Drosophila melanogaster: one gene and its partners. The protein of the gene in region 1 purifies or fractionates together with the protein of each later gene. This does not show direct contact. Each region holds a gene or a part of one and is shown on either strand. Other genes may lie near its edges.

Region 1 (4,821 bases):
AAGTGCAAGCCAATAAAGCAATTAGCAGATTTATGCGATAATCAGCAAGTGCAAGGGGAGTAGTATTCAAGTCCAAACATGGCTTGTGCGAAAGTGAAACTATATGGAAAATGCATTTGCATTTTATGATTAATTTAGCAATTTTATAACTTGTGTATTTACATGAGGATCCTGCAATCTGATTTCTGCACATATATGTATTTAAATTCATAACTTTAAAGCTCCCATCTTATCTGCATGTTATCAAAATAACTGGCAGATCTTTCTTCCATTTCAAGCTACACAGCGAGTTTTTTGCAATAATGGATAGCCATTTTTGGACGAAAGGTGGCAGAGTCAATAAATTATTCGGCCTGGCCAAAACCGAAACAACCAAGGCCCCCTTTTCGATGCCAGTCAGTCGCATTGTTCGAGCTTAGCCAACTGATAAATTGAGAATTTAATATTTCGACGGCGTCTCTTCACGACTTTTATTGTCCGATTCTTTCGCTGATGTTCTGAACTTTGAGAGTGTTTTCTCATCTCGTCACAGTAAATCATTTAAACGAGAATACCTAAAATTGAACCTTATTTTCTGGGATATACTTCGAAACACCGAAAGCAGGGTGTTTATTTATGCAGATCACATCGGATCGCGTGGTGTGGAGCCAAACGAAGCTGGACGAACTGGGTACATTCTCGAATAGAGAGTTCTGTCACCAGCCAAAATTGTGTCAGTAGATTCCAATCTGGGCCAAGAAATTGCTGCATAGATAAAGTCTTCTAAATCTTCGAAAGTAGAATGAGGATTTGAAATGATAGTAAGCTCATTTAATATATTTTTTTAACTAACATATATCATTGCATACTCTTAGGTGCCATATATGTTTACTCAAATCAATTTATATTTACAAATGTGCGCTTTATCTTGGAATTGCATTCTTATCAGTAAAGTGCAGATGCTGTAGCTACCATCCTCGAATTAAAAACCCAAGATGAATCACTCAGCTGCACTGGGCTATTGCCCCTTTTCTCGAGCAGCTCCAGACTTCTGACTCAATGTGAACGCAGCTGGTGGGTTTTTTGGCCCCTCCTTGGTGCCCATTGACACCCCCTTTGCCTTTCCTGGCCAACACGAAACCCACTTGACCAACATTTGTCATGGCTCGAACCGAGTGCAGCCGGCGGCTAATTGACTCGAATTTCGCCGCGTGAAATTTTAATTCTTTATTACGGCTCATCGCTGTCATTTGTTGTGTGGTTCTGCCTTAAACATGCATTTATTTTTAAAAACTCTGTTTACATTCCTGTGCCTGATCCGCCGAAGAGAAGTGGCATTGGAGAAAAAAGCGCCAATCGAATAAAGCCAAAGCCAAAAAAAAAAAACGTTGAATTTTAATGAAAACGCAATCGAGGCAAATTTTTTGTTCGCTTAAAAAACACACAGATATACATATATATATATATATAAATCTGCATGTGTATGGGCCATAAGTCGATTAAGGTGACACATTGAGTTATGTTTGCGTTGATTCAGCACAAAATTCCCATGACATCTTATAACTTTCGGCAATGACATATATATAATCGAAAAATGGGCCTACACCAAAGAGGTTTATGAGTATTAAGATCATCCTTATCAAGAAATGACGTTATCATTAGGAACAAAGTTAATATTTCAGGAAACAAAATGCGTATATGTATAACTCATTTTTTATATCTAACTAACTATGGCCAACTAACAAGCCATCCTTATGAACTGGCACCTCGCAATTCCTACTTTTCTGCCTAGTTTACAAGTTACAGATATTTTCCATCTGTATCCGACCTTATAAGATCTACCTTTCCACACAAAATTTACAAATTATCGCATGGAAAATTCGGAATTTAATCATACAGAATACAGAATTTTCTATTCTTAGAGTACGATATATACACACGTTGGTTCAAATGGGTCTAATGCATATAGATTCTTTAGCCAAATGCCTTGGGCGATACTCTAGCAGCTTTCCTGCTCTCTATTTCACTGTTTAGTATCTGTAGCACACACGGATTGTATCTAAAAATAGGACAGCCGAGGCATCTGTTGAATATCTAGCCTCTCCACGGATATTACTTAATACTAAGCTGAGAGGAAGGGAGCTTTCTGGGAAATTCTTGGCGCATTTCGCCTACGTTCGCTTCAGATTCATTTGGCAGCTAGGGCCAGCGGTCGTGGATCAGATTTCAAAGATACAAAACTGCAAAGTAAATGCGCGTGTTGCCCAGTTACTTGGAAAATAGGCTCAATGAATTCCTAAACATTTTGGATTAAAGAAAATTATAATTCAGGAAACCATTCCATAGCAAGGATAGCTATCTTGAAGTCTATCTCATTGATCTTTATCTTAAGAATGATTCCCTTACTTTCTCATATACAACATGACAATTTTAGTTTCTGAAAGGAGGAAAGAGAGCTCGATAATCCTCCTTTTGCCTTAATTCTTTACTTCTGCCGCTAAAATCTAAGATCGTTCGAAGTTCCCACTGACCATGTTTATATATCTCATGAAATACGTTTAGCTGAAACCCTATATAGCAACTTGCGGTTAGCAGACAAACTTGACAAGGTCCCCAGAATCGTTATTCTTAGTTTTTTTTTCGCGATCTGCAAAGGTGCTTAACCTCTATTTGGGTTTATTTCGATTCTAACTGGGAAAATTTTCAATTTTTTTCAATACTTGCGGATGATTAGGGTTGAGAATTGCACAGCACTTTGGTGGATTTTAAGTTAGATATTGCAGCAACGTTGTGGTTATGTAATTATACTTTTTGGTTCGATCCTTTTTTTTAAATAAGAATCGAATTCTAGCACAGTTAAAATTATTTTTGAAGCACTCGACAAGTATTTTTGTGGAAATATTCAGCGATATCTTTGTATTTTTTTTTGTATAATTTTTTACTGATCAACGATAACGTATTCCTTTTTACTTACAAAACTTTTATTCGGAGTTATCCGCGACTTGAACGGATTGTGATGTTCAACTGAAAATATTTATTCAATATGTTGACGTTCGATGCTCGCCGCTTGGTCGATTTCGAGCGGCTTGCGCTGGTGTGTGTGCGTGTGAGCCGCCGCGCTAGTGCGCCTGTGTGCGTGAGTATCTGTGTGCGAGAGTGCGCACTTTTCGGCCAAAAGCGAGCATATGTTGTTGCTGTCTGCGCCTACTTTGGAACTGCACTTGGCTCTCAATTTACCCCAAGAGCATCGGTAAATTGCTCGGCCGGGGTACAATAGCTTATACACTGCGCGAAATCAACAAAGGGGTGCATTTGTTCTTATTTATATACTCATATTTAATGTAATCATGCATGCTTTCTAATATCAGGACATTTAATATGCACTTTTGATTTAATGTATTTATAAATTTATGTCGCACTTATCATTTATCATCATTTACTCATGCTACTTTTGTTATTACAAATTTGAATTTTGAAATTCATTTATAAATTATATTAAATGTTTTTTTCATTCAGAAAATACTCCAAAGTGAAATGGGCTATGCCAGTTAAGAAAGCTGTACAACATTTCTTTACCCCTCAGCCCGTAATATATTTAATTTATGTTCCTATCCGATTTCTGCCAGTGTAACGGAAAGCATAAGATCAGAATTTCAAATACAGTTACAATTTATACACACACATTCAAGCCCGGCGCCTGCGCTCTCTCTCCGCTTTCTCTCTGCCTCTCTTTTCCGATCCTTTCCTTGGTGCTTTCACCTGTTCGCTGCACATGTATGGGTAATGCTCACTCATTTCGAATCGAATGCCTTTCTTTCAGCCTATTTTTGAATATTTCCCCGTATTTTGAAAAGCTCTTTTCACCCAGTGTTTTTGCCCATTGCAAAATATATCCAATACTTAGGCAATCGTGTCTCTTTTCCCGATGAGAGTGTATTGGTTTGGGGATCGTTTTGTTTTGCTTTTTGATGTTCTCAACTTCTATTTTTAATTTTCAGTTATTGATATGCCAAAAAATCTTGTTTCACGTAGTTATACGTACGTATTTCCCCCATAGGTCTACAGATTATTATTTTCTGCTCTATATATTAAAGCTCTTTCTATAGATTTTTCAACGTCATGTCTGCGAACGGAAAACATTTTGCTGGCAATCATAAATGTCACATATGAAAGTATACGTTTTTTTGTAACTGTCTCGCAAGAAAATGCATCCATGATTCATGCTTTTTTAAATTGCAAACGTGAAAACGGTTGAAATTCAGTTTCCCCATAATCGTTGAGTTTCCGATCTGGTGATATGCATATTTGCCCTTCTAGATTGCTTGCTTACTCGTTGATCACGCCCTTTTAATCTTATCGCCAACAAAATTGTTGGAGATCTTATATGTTCGAATGCAACTAAAGTCTTTAAATATAAACCTATAAATATAAGCCAATTTGATAGCCCCAACATATATACATATATGTATTTACTTATTCCATTTTTTGTTGTTCTCTTATCTTGGAGAACATTTGCCAGTCCGAGGTTGATGAAAATTTTAAAATTAACTCAAACAACACCCACAAAATGACGTAATTGTATTCATTAAAAACAAAAAGTTTTCGAAGCAAGAAAACTAGATCAATATATTTATAAAGACAAAGAAAAAAAAAAACAAAGAAGACATAGACATGGAAAAGACCCTTGAGAAAACGTCGAAAAACATTGTAAAATAGCAAAACAGTCTGAGCAACTTGCTAAATACGAAAACGAAATCATGGCCATCGAATCCGACCCGTTGACATGTGTTAGTTATGGAAAACCAAAGTTTTCATAATTCCAAAATATACGCGAATTAAATA
Region 2 (4,714 bases), on another chromosome or scaffold:
TGCTGCCGCTGTTGCTGTTGATGTTGCCGTGGTGATAGGCAGCCCCAGCCGCAGCGACGGCGCCGGCTTGGTTCGACGACGTCTGTTGCTGCTGCTGCTGCTGAGCGTGGAGATGGTGATGATTCAGACTGCAAAACGGAGGATAGAGCAAGCAAATTGGTTAATCGATGGCCACAAGTAAGAGCTCCTGGGGCGGATGCGCTGGCTTCTGCGGTTATATCAGCAAACAATGCACACCAAGAGGATTATAGAGGCCATCGAGACAAAAGTGTACATCGACTGGCGCACGGGAAAAACAAAAACACCAACGAGAGAGGTCCTAGAAGCTTCGTGGCCCCCCCCAACCCTCTGCCGTATGTTGTTGTTCCTGCGGAATAGCAGACAACAGCGACCACGCCGAACAATGGACAAAATCCTAACAAAGCACAAAAGCCGCATTCTCTTACGCATCGTGTCATTTTTCGCCAACTGTCAGTTTCAATTGAGACGCACCTACTGCGACACCCTGCTCCTGCAACCGCTCCCTACCTTTCCTTTCCCAATGATCGAGGGTAGGAGAGCACTCTAGCGACCTTTACCTACAGCCTCGTACATTTCACAAGACAAGGAAATATTTTTGGCAATTTATAATCGCTAAATCAGTACGGAAACAAGCCTTCAAATTAACATTGATATGGGCAATTTGTGATTAGGATCAGTTGATATGCGATAAAAATGTCCTGCGTAAGGGAAAGGTAATTAATTGAATGCTCTTAATGTTTATGGACACTCTTTTTTGAAAACAAGTCTGAGCAATGTGATAATCCATATTTCAGGCTAATACAAATCTGTAGTAATATCTGAAGTTTATTCCTTTCGTACCTTTCACTTGCAAGTTATATGGTTAAGAGGATTTGATTTCATTTGCAAAATCTCATCTCTTATCTTTACGAGTTCTTTAATTTATTGTCTTGCGAACTTATTAGATCCCGCTTCAGTTTCTATAACTTTAATCTTCTTGCATATTTCACCTCTCACTTGGCACTGATGAAAGTCTATCATGATCGTTAAAAGATCGTACGCAAATGTACGTTAGAATCAGCGAACGTCGGTAATAAATTCATGTGCGACCCGATCCGACCGGCAGGCAAAACGCAACTGAATGCGGAACTGGATGAGCAGTTTGCAGAGAGTTTGGCGAAACATATGATCGTAGACAATACGAGGAGCCTGAACTACTGGAGGCCGAGCCGAAGGATACTCGCGAACGTCAAGGATAATTGCAGCGCAGTCGGCAGGGCAAACCCGTTATCATCGAGCGGAAGTCATGCTGAGCGCGAAAGAACAAAGAGCCACTGAAATTATAATTTATGAGTTGAGAAAATGGGATGATGAGTCTCACACCAATTGTCAGTGACAGGAATTAACATAATTGCCGCAACGCATAAAGCTCAGACAAGCTGGCGTTTCGAGTCGATGTGGAATCTCTCTAGGATCCAACCAAGCCAGGGAGATACATTTTCCTCACCTGAGATTCACACTGAGTCCATGAGATCCAACCAGTGGCTAGTGGTACATTATTGCCTAAACAATTTATACTGAGATCTCGATCTAGATTAGGAAACTCTATAAGATGTTATCCCATATTAATAACACACCTATCTAAAAGTTCCTTCCTGTACATAGATAGATGGGAATTCTTCTAGACTTGGAAAACCTATTTAACCCATGTTACCCCTTCTTGTTTACATGGAGTTTCGATTGAATGAAGGGGATGATAACCATTTCCGAAAACAAACTGAACCAACAAGGCGTACCATCTTGTTTAACTCCAAACATAGTTAGAACTGCTAAATTGGAACCGAACTCCAAAAGGTATCACAATTTAATAAACTGATACTACTCTTATTTGACTGAAGGATGAAGCATTATCTGGTTTAATTGTTATTCCTGATAGCGTCAACGACATAGATGGCTTACCGTGCGTGGAGGTCGCGATGTGGAGGCTGCTGGGGCGGCGGTGGCGGCTGCTGTTGCTGCTGAAGACTGGGGCCCAGGTGCTGCTCCATGCCGGGATGCAGATGCATGTGGGCATGGCTGTGGCTGTGATGGTGCGCAGCTCGGATGTGGGGCGCTGGCCGGGCGGCATGAACGTTGTGCTGCATTTTCTTGAGCTGTAACCTTTAGGACTCCCGTATGAACCAGCGACCGCAGCTGCAAGGAGGAAAAGGAACATGGATGAGACGGACACAAACAATGTTTTCCCTGTCCGCACAAAGGGCCCTGGAGGTGTTTCTTTGTGCGGCGATTGTGCGTAAACAAGTTGCAACTGCATGCGGGGCATATAAATGCGAAATGCAAATGGACATGGTGCACACGTATCTACCTATATACATACATACATATGTGTGTGCATACATATATGCGTATATATATATATATATACATAGAAATGCAACTGAAGCGACGACATCGGCCTAAATCAAATTGTGACAGGCGGCGGGTAGAAGGGTTCAAATCGACTGATTCGTTGCCGATGCCAAGCAACCACTCCTGGTTGCACTTTTCTGGTTCTTACGGCCCTCCGGTTGCCTTATGCCTCTGTGTGTTCTTGGTGAAATCGGATAAAATGCAGCTGCAGTGCGCAATTCAGGTTTCGTGCATTCCGTGCAGGGGTTCAAGGACCCAGACCCAAACCAAGACCAAGAACAAGACCTAGACCCAGATCCACACATCCATGGATTCTGTTCCCTTCCCTTCCATTCCGTTCCGTAACCCCATTCCGATTCCCAGTCCGCATCCGAAACGAGAGTGGCATAACGATCTGCAGACGCAACTCACCTTCTTGCGCTCCCAAAACGATTTTCGTACGCAATGGTCACGGGAAAATCACAACAACTGAATGCAAATACTCCGTTCGATCGATGGACACATGCACATCCATTCATGCGGGCTGGCCTCGATCGTTTGCGCAACTTAAAAAACACTTTAGAACTACTTTAACACTTAAATTAAATTGATAAACCTATTTTGCACTGTGGCTGCGGATGAAACTCGAAAAATAATGGCTTTTAGGCGAGCGGGAAGCGGGGTGGTTGCGTACGGCGGTGTTGGAAAGCGCGCGCGCAGAAGCGCCAGGGCTGCACAATAGTCGATCTGGTATTTTATGCCTATCGAAATTGATAACTTTAAAAAGGGCATAAATATTAATTCGAAATTATTTAAATCTGTAATTACGAAATATTTAACTAACAGGCTTATTGATTGAATTACAAACAACAAACAACAGCATGCGTTTTCCTGTTCAAGTGTATTTTAGTATTTGTTGGACAGAAAGCCAGCGTTTTTAGGCGCCAATGCTTAAGGTCACACTGCAAAATAATATTAAAAATAAAAACATATTTTTAAGAATTTTATCATCAGACAAACAAAAACTGAAAAACAGTGGCTATTTAAAGAACGCCCTATTACTTTTATTTTTGGGATGAACCCGGGGATGCCCCCAAGGTTGCTAGATCATGAAAATGATGACGCCACCAATTCGCTTCGATTGTTTTGATAATATTTTGGCTGTGACTCATTCGCCGGCTGGCCGATGTTTTCACTTTTGTTGTGGCCCCGAATGGCATTTAAGGCATTCCGGTGTAGACAGCAGACCAGAGAGCAAGCACACGCAGTTCCGCGATTACGCAGCACACCCACAATTACTCAGTTCAGTCCGTCAATATGTTCGATTTCAATTTGGAATTTGCGCGTGGAGGTGCCCGTTTCACCAGCGAACTTTTTCAGCTTTTGAGCGCTGGCGGGCTCAAGGAGAACGTCGTCTTCTCGCCCTTCTCCATCCAAACTTGCATTGCCCTGGCCTTTGCCGGATCGCAGGGTGAAACCGCCGACGAGATCGCCAAGGCACTGCACTTCGTCTCCAACTTTCCGCCGGAGGTGGCCCAAACGTTCCAGTTTGTGCTGGAGAAGTACCGCAACAGTAACCTGCTGCGCGTTGCCAACAAGCTGTACGTGCAGGAGGGCAAGCAGCTGAAGCCCGCCTACCAGTCGGCCATCAAGGAGCAGTATCATTCGGAGGCGGAGTCCATTAACTTTGCGCTCAACGATGCCGCCGCCCAGGCCATCAATGCCTGGGTGAATGCCAAGACTCAGGGCAAGATTACGGAGCTGGTCAGCGCGGACTCGTTCTCGGACAACACCAGGCTGGTCCTGCTCAATGCCCTCCACTTCAAGGGCAGCTGGGCGCACAAGTTCAGCGAGGAGCGCACCGAGGAGGATATCTTCTGGGTGGGCGAGGAGGAGCAGGTTAAAATCAACTACATGAACCAGAAGGCCAAGTTCAACTATGGCTTCTTCGAAGATCTGGGCTGCACTGCCCTGGAGATGCCCTACCAGGACTCTGACCTCTCCATGTTCGTGCTGCTGCCGCAGGAGCGGACAGGTATTTACGCCCTAGCCGAGAAGCTCAAGACTGTGAACCTGGTGGATTTGGCCGACAAGTTGACCGTGGAAGAGGTCCATGTCAAGTTCCCCAAGTTTAAGGTGGACTACTCCCTGGAATTGGCCGAGAAACTGAAGCAGGTACATATTATTTTTTTTTTTTGGGGGTGGGGGGGGTTGATTGTTCCACCCAATTTATGCCACAATTAAGCTCCATTTGGGGTCAGCTTTTGTTTTTATATAACACAGTTCCTTGACCTCCATTTGATGTTGCGTGCTTAAGGTGAAGTTT
Region 3 (7,739 bases), on another chromosome or scaffold:
TAAAAGGGAACTGGATGAGACGAAGAAAATTCCTGGGGCCGCGATGGCGTGTTGTATAAAAAACAAAATAAGAATTTGTAATTGTTTCTCAGCCTTAGCTGGTGTTGTTTTAAATATTTATTGAGCCCTCCGCATTGAATAAATTGCAATAGAATACGCCTATAAGATGAACCACTCGTAGCTTTTGTATTTTATGCATATATATATATATATAGGTACAGCAAATGTCTGCATAGGTGCGCTAAATGTATGTTCTAAAAGTAAGCCAAAATATTATAAACTGTGCAATAAGTATTATCTTTCATCATTTCAGAAGAAGCTAACGAACGGCGATCCGCTGCCGGACCCCAATAGAAATATGTATATAGCGCCATGCAAAGAGAATTATAACCAAGAAATTAAGAACAAATACGATTTATCCATAGTGATACGTGCTAAACTCCTACGCGTTTATGACCCCGTGCGAAAATCCGCCGTCCTCTCGGATCCTCCGCAAAAAGGAACAAAATGTGTGCAGATGTGGGTGGTGTGCATTTCTGCGGTGCGGTTGTGTCTGAGTGGTTGTGCAATGCTTTCCCATCCTCCCAAGTCCTGTTCGGTGAACTTAGACCTCGGTGACGGGGCGCTTCTCGATCCAGGCCTTGATCGGTTCCAAAGCGTTGACGGCATCCACGACTCCGCGCAGAGCTGGGTAGGGTTCCAACAGATCGCGCTTGACCATGTAGTTCATGTAGTCGGTGATGCCTGCGAAGTAGACGTCGGCCCAGGTCAGCTGTGGGTGAAAGGAATCGATGGTTCTTAGTATTGTTCATTCAAAATTAACGAGTGTATGGTTTCAAGTTCTCATTTGAGCACGCACCTTGCCCAGAGCCAGGTGACCATCGTTGTCCTTGACGGTCTGCTCGAGCTTCTCCAGGTAGAATGGAATGACCTCCGCATTCAGGGTGACCAACTTCTTCTCTTTAATCTCGTCCTCCGGCTCGTACGAGACGACTGCAATTTCTATACATTAAAAATTCCAGAGTTAATCAAGGACACTGAACATGAAACTGAGGCACACATTGTTCGCTACTTAGACGGAAGTCATTGATGGTGTCAACGACAATGTCGATCTGCAGATCCTCCCACGGAGTAGCGCCGCACAGGCCGACAGTCTTGGCCAGGAATCGAGCCATCGAAATGCTCTGGTGCACACGCTTGCCGTCCACCTCCAGCACGGGCATCTGTCCCATGGGCATGGCTATTGGATGAGACAGAGTAGATTATGGTTAGTCCACTGACCACTCAATGATGGACTATGGCACTCACTGGGCTTCAGGGCTGGCCACTCGTCGCGGGTGACGCGCACATCCTCGTACTCCTGGTTGCCGTAGGCGAACAGGTAGCGCAGGGGCTCGGCCAACGCCTTCACGTTGAAGTAGAAGAGCGTGTAGCTGTGCTTGATGGGCTCGGCGGGCTCTGCTGGTGGAGCGGCCTCTCCGCCCTCGACGGCACCCTCGGCTCCCTCGGCGGGTGGTGGCGCCTCTCCCTCGGCTGGTGGTGCTCCCTCAGCTGGTGGTGCTTGTGCTTCATCGGCCATCTCTGCGCTTTCTCAATGCAATTCCCTGATAGAAAAGTAGAGCAATGTGTGTTAACAGAATCTTATCGGGGAAGTACTATCGATAATTTGATATTCATCAATAATAAATTACGGTGTATATGGAAAGTTGGTAACCATTATGTTTTCTTGGCTATCAGATTAGATATACATATGTTGAAAACTTCAATAATTTAGAGTGCTAGCCATTTCACGCCGTTTTGAAATAGCCTTGGTTAGTTTTCCAGAACTTTCGTAGTTTTTGTTTACGTTTGCTGGCTTATTAAACTCAGTTAATCAGTCGATAGCCTGATTTTTATGATAAGGCGAACGCGCCAAACGTTTCTAGCTGAAGTGGGCCAGAATATGCGTGAGTGATAAGGATATATTACGGTGTCGTATAACTTCCACGATCCACGATAAAGTGTGTCCACAAGGCTACGAATATTCTTAAGTGGTTTAAACAAATGATATAAAAACCGTTGGGGGTAAGCTACATATACTCTATAAGCTACTAGCTAATTTTGCGCTAGTTCGAAAGCCATGTTTGCTTGCATGCCTTATGAGGCTATTCTTCAAGAACAATGCAATAAATCAAGCGGAGTCAAGGCAAAAGTTGACAGAAAATATAATTACCATAAAATTGCAATATATATAGTAGATATATACTGAAACGCAAGAGTATTTCCCCATAGAACCCACCGGAAGTGCATCGATTGCCGCACAGACAACACACCCACGCATATCAAAGAAACAGACACCACTCCTCCGCCCGTCTGCCCACTTTTGGTCCCCTTATGTTTTTCGCTGAATCGCGCAAAAGTCGGAATCAATATCTTTTGGGGCGTTGGCGCTGCTGGAAGAATCGTAGGACGGAGGAGGTACGGATACTACGCCCCTGTTTCCATTGTCGTCGGCACTTTTTGCCTCGCTGGATAAACGGATTCAGTGTGCAATGGGGTCCATGTAGAGCGTAAACCCGTTTTCGTTCGATTTGGCTGAGGAATCATGGTGTCTCTGCCTTTGCCATCATTTTGGCAGGGCGCCCAGTCAGTCACCAAGACTTCGGATCCCCTCCCCAACCCCATCACCGTTTAGTAATGGCCGATTGGCCGCCTCTTCCGCTGCAATTTTCGCTTTCGGAGAGTCTCAAATTGCAACAATCGATTTGACTTTTCGGTGTTATCTTCTGGTTTCGCCGTAGTGCTCTTCCTTTTTTTTGCTGGCACTTGTTGCCATGACAGCTTCAATTGAATTTAATTTGGTCTGTCTCGGTGTTTCGGTGTCATGATTTAATTAAATTTCGATTCTCTGATCTATTTTGGCTCTTTGATCTGGCACTACGGCACTAAAATCGTGGCAAATGGTTTCACTTTAATCGTGGGAAAAGGTTAGGGAAGATAATGACACCTAGATTATCCAATCCATGGGAAAGGGCAGGGATCACAGCGGGTCAAGGACCCAGTGGAGGCACACAAAGTGCGTCAATGGGCACTGAAGAGATTCACGTGCACCCGGCCCATATGGGCAACATTTCCAGATGAACTCGCCGATCGGGGGGGTTATCACTAGAATTTGAAAGTCTGGGACCCCTAGCCCCGAGGCATATCAGTTCAAAAATATAACTGATTGTTTGTTTGTTGCTAAATAATTTTGTTTTGAATTTCAATTATTCCTTTTTGAAAAGGTATTAAAATAGGGGTTATGTAAGCCTGCGTTTGGATAAGATCCCGAATATGCACTACACTCAAGTTGGTTCCGGTTCGAGTACCTCACGCTTCGAAATACGTTCACGCACTCCACAGTCGACGGAGGTGCTATGGTCGTTTCTATATTTCTATTCCGATCTGATCGGTTCTGAAGAGGCAGAAGAAGAGGGCTTCTAGTTGATCGGTTAACGTCGTTGTCCTTCACATATTTGCTTGCGAGCGAGGCGAGAGATCCGCGCGAACTGCGATTCTGCGAAACGAGTTCAAAACTTTTCGATTTCGAATCGATTGACCCAAAAATCAAATCAAATCAATCGAAGCCAAAAAACCATTGTGTGTAATTTTAGAACCGATTCGAGACGAACACCATTCGGCATCGAAGTTCGCAAAAGCGTTTTCCACTTTTTGGCAAGGGTAAATCTTGGTGCGTAATTACATCACTAAGGTGCTACGAAATGAGGTGGTTCCAGGGATTCCTTGGCTTACCTCAACAAAGAATACGAAATCAGCTGGGCACTGGGGCTCTCGGGTCTTCAATTCGCTAATAAGCGTTCACTTAAATCGTGGGCGAAGGAATAGCGTTCGGTTCGATTCGCACTCTCTTTCCGTTACTCTCTACTCTCACTCTCTCCAGCCACTGGGAAGCTATCACTGAACCGATCGTCACGACGACTGCACTGCAACTGACTTTCTTCTGCCGGCGACGCTGCTTTTATACGCTTGCCGCTCTCATCAAGCAAACACTCTCTTTCAAGCTTCAGGCGTTTGACTGTGTGTGTAAGCCGGCCGGTTAACTGGAAAAAGGTAGTGTTTTAATTTTAAGTTTGGCTCTCTCTCTCTCTCTCTCTCTCTCTCTCTCTCTCTCTCTCTGATTCTAGTTCCAGTGGGCGTTGAAAAGGAAACGAAGTTAATGAATTAGTTAACATATTTAGCCACGTTTCCAGTTCTTCTTCTTCCTACCCTCTTTTCTTAAATGGAATGCAATATTCCAGCAGGCTTTGGCTTCCCAATTTGGCAATTAGCTTTTCATAAACAAAATGGAACTCTCTCTCTGTTCTTAAAATCTCTCAGTCGGCATTTAAATAGATCTCTTTGGGAGAGGTTCTCAGCTCAGTAATAAACCAATTATAGTAGCAAAAAAAGGCAGTAAATATTTGTTTGGGCTTTTAGTGGATGAAGCTTGTTTACTGCCCACTTAAAAGATACATAGTTTAAAGAACGAAAACTAAATAAAGCAGATTTTGAGAGCCGAAGAAAAAAACATCTTATGGGTACCTAAAACTAATTATTAACTTTCAATCTTACTCCTATTTGCATTAAGTAAGTTTATCGTATCTTAAAGTCATACTCCCACATTCTTAGGAACTATCCGCCGCATAAGTACTTTTGTTAGCATTAACTGATTGTGAGAAATTAGCCAGGAAATTTGAAACGCCCAATACTCAATCGCGGTGCTCTGGACTTTGCTTAGTTCGATCCAGACTGGCGGTGCCTGGCGACGAAATTCGAGTGCATCCAAGATGTTTACTTATGTGGGAAGCATCAGGTTCACTTCATAGGGTTGTCTAAGGGAAAAAATGTATAACGCTTGTGAATTATATCAAATTAAAATTATTTAAGCATTTAAAACATGTTGCACATTGTTTTGTTTTTGAATAGCTTAACGGGGGCTCTTTCATATCTTTTCTAATTGCATTTATAAATATCGGTAAAATAAGTAAAATTATTTTAATTAAACCTGTTAATTTAGGCATATTTGCTGAAGGCAAAATTTCCATTTAAAAATTTAAACATTTGAATGACAAATTCAACTTGTAACGTAAATGTTCGAAATTAACATTCTGGCAACTCTTTGCATGGTTGCGGTACTTGATAATAAAAAGGTTGGTTAGAAGCCGCACTAATTTAGGTTGTGTGCTTGGCTAGCTGTTAGTGGCTCGAATTGCGGCGAATTCGACTTAGAAAAGTGTGGCTCGAATTGCGGCGAATTCGACTTAGAAAAGTGTGGTAAGTTTAAATTTTGAATATTGGCGCGAAAATATGATTTGTTAATTGGGTTTACTTGTATCAAAATTTAATGAAATTTATTAATTGCCATAAATTAAGTTAGAAGGTCAGTTACACTTAGTTAAATAGGTCTTAGCTCATATCTTATCATTAGCTGAAAATGACTGCCGTTTGCTTAGCACTTGACATAAAATAGTATAAAATTGAATTAATTGATTAAAAAACTTGATTAAGTGTTATTCACTGTGAATTGATGGGACTCCTACAATTTTCATCTTGTACCCACACAATCTTTGCTTCTACCCAAATAACTACCATAAAACGCAATCGAATTCACCAGCTTTTCGCAGCCATGGGACTCCCACAGCTGGAAAAGAAGCATTCCATGCGATTCGGGCACTATTTGTGTGTTTTTGTGTTGGCTGGGCGGCGTACGTTCGAAAATGTGCAAAGATAAGCGAATCGGTGCACAAGTAAGAAAACAGCAAAAATCCCCCACAAAATCGAGCCCAGAATTCTCGTAGAATTACGCGAAAATCCATAGAAAATGACCGATTTGTGGCCTTTAATGCGATGGCGCGTATTCAGCTCTTCGTTTTGCGTTGGCGGTTTCGATTGTGAGCAGACCTCGATTGATAAGATATGACAATCGTTCACGATAAGACAGACATTTCGAACACGCTGACGAGTGCATAATCGAGTGAAACAGGTGGAGAATATATGACAAATCGCAGCGGACTCACCATGAATAACTCTAACTGAGACTTAAAAAAAAGTCCGAAGTTTTTTTTGACGCACTGCTCGCTAGTGAGGGAAATTTTCGATTCGTTATTGTTTTTGAAGTAGGTTTTCCAGACTGCCTGGTTGTGCGCCAATTTTCTCCGCATTCTTTTTCGTTTCTTTCTTGGCGAAGACCACTAAGTTTTATGCACAGGCAGAAATTTTACGTTTAAACCTAATGGATTTTTTCTGCAATTATGCATTTTGAAGCTTGCTATAAAATTTTATGTTCTAACAACGTGCTATAAAATATTTTCCAATAAAGTGCATAGATGTATGATTTTAACGTTTATGGATTGAAAGTAGTTTACTATTTTATGGTCATGACTATGGCTGCAATTAAATAAAATTATTTGCTGTGTGGCCTGCACTAATTAAGAATTTATGCCGCCTGCAATTGCACTCCAGGAATAAGTAAAAAAAAAAGAATAGTAAGCAGCACGAAGAATGAGCGGCGGAATTATGACAATAATTTGCTGTGGAAAATGCGACACAGAACGGAACCGACGAGCCCGCGAGAGCAATCTAAATAATAAAAAAGCGAGCGCATAAAAAAATTATAACTAACACTCGGCGGGCGAACAGTTAAAACCAGACGGCGGGAGCGGCAGCGGTAAAAGTTATAGACGGGTGCTATATGGAAAGAGAGAGAAACAGTGAGATCGGGAGAGGCGATAATTCTCGCACTTGCTGCACTGCGAATTCCACCTTCAGTGCGAATTCAAATGCGCAGGTGAGCGAACGTTGCGCGAGTTGGTGAATGTTTTCCAATTGGGCGATCGCTTGAAGTCCACATTGCGTATACGCAGCGTGAGCCGTGACCTTAAAGCGCGGCAAAAGACCGATAAATAGCGAACAATGTAAGTGCCGAAATTGGCAAGTGAACTCGAATGGCAGCTAGTGAAGAAATCTAAATTCAAAGCGAACACGAAACGTCTGCATGCGCTTACAAAAACTGTCTCATTAACACGTGCCCACAAATTATGAACTGTGCAAAACCTGAAAATCAAACTCCAATTTTAATTGAGTAAATACACAAAAAAATTGTCACTTTTCGCCCGAATCAGTGCTGGCTCCAAAGCTGTTTTGCTTCAAACTCGTACTGACTCGTGTCGGTAATGAGTGGTTTTCGCCACTTTAAGCCATTAAAGCCACTATTCTGTGTGCCTTTATCTTTGTAATCGGCTGACTAAATACATAAACTCTATTTTGTTAGCTGACTCTGCTGATGGGCGAAAATCGTATTATCCAATTCAAGGTTTCCACGTATCTATTTGTTTAGCTATTATTCGCCCATAGCTTCGATTTTGGTTAAAGTAGTTTGATGTAGTTGTGTGAAAATGTACCCGTTTATGATTGCCATACTTTATAAATGTTAGAAGTGGCTTTAAAACCCATTCAAATATTATAAATGACGATAAGCAGTGGAGTGGGTGAAGATAACAGAGTGAATCAGAAATTGATCGACCGAATACTTCCCGATTGTTATTACGAAAAAAAGTAGAGTTGATCCCCCAACTGAAAAAATACTAGATAGACCTCCAAGTGTAGATTGCTGTTTAAGACTAGCACGAAAGCAATATACCCTTTGTTGCACTCGGGTTAAAAGGTAGCCAAAGTCAAACACAATGAAACTTGCATGTGACGATGCTAAATGCCCAATTAGG

What was found.
Region 2: the proteins of Tm1 (region 1) and stau purify together in Drosophila melanogaster (affinity purification with western blotting, with the first as the bait; one study listed by BioGRID). This does not show direct contact.
Region 3: the proteins of Tm1 (region 1) and GstS1 fractionate together in Drosophila melanogaster (co-fractionation; 2 studies listed by BioGRID). This does not show direct contact.

The regions. Positions count from the first base shown.
Region 1 is NT_033777.3:15,279,736-15,284,556, reverse strand, and holds the start of Tm1 (tropomyosin 1), read right to left. Parts: upstream 3,008-4,821; 5' UTR 2,954-3,007; exon of another isoform or gene 2,700-2,953; intron 1-2,699. UniProt on the Drosophila melanogaster protein: Tropomyosin, in association with the troponin complex, plays a central role in the calcium dependent regulation of muscle contraction.
Region 2 is NT_033778.4:18,122,735-18,127,448, forward strand, and holds the start of stau (staufen), read right to left. Parts: upstream 3,046-4,714; 5' UTR 2,821-3,045; intron 2,194-2,820; 5' UTR 2,145-2,193; coding exon 1,960-2,144; intron 1,140-1,959; exon of another isoform or gene 1,011-1,139; intron 129-1,010; coding exon 1-128. Other genes in the region: Spn55B (serpin 55B), read left to right, coding at 3,706-4,563. UniProt on the Drosophila melanogaster protein: RNA-binding protein which forms ribonucleoprotein complexes (RNPs) that play critical roles in the localization, translational repression and turnover of RNAs during embryogenesis, neurotransmission and neurogenesis.
Region 3 is NT_033778.4:17,093,457-17,101,195, forward strand, and holds the start of GstS1 (glutathione S transferase S1), read right to left. Parts: upstream 6,046-7,739; 5' UTR 6,036-6,045; intron 4,851-6,035; exon of another isoform or gene 4,670-4,850; intron 4,080-4,669; exon of another isoform or gene 3,772-4,079; intron 3,522-3,771; exon of another isoform or gene 3,348-3,521; intron 1,605-3,347; 5' UTR 1,580-1,604; coding exon 1,309-1,579; intron 1,241-1,308; coding exon 1,061-1,240; intron 1,003-1,060; coding exon of another isoform or gene 994-1,002; coding exon 860-993; intron 773-859; coding exon 605-772; 3' UTR 1-604. UniProt on the Drosophila melanogaster protein: Conjugation of reduced glutathione to a wide number of exogenous and endogenous hydrophobic electrophiles. May be involved in the detoxification of metabolites produced during cellular division and morphogenesis.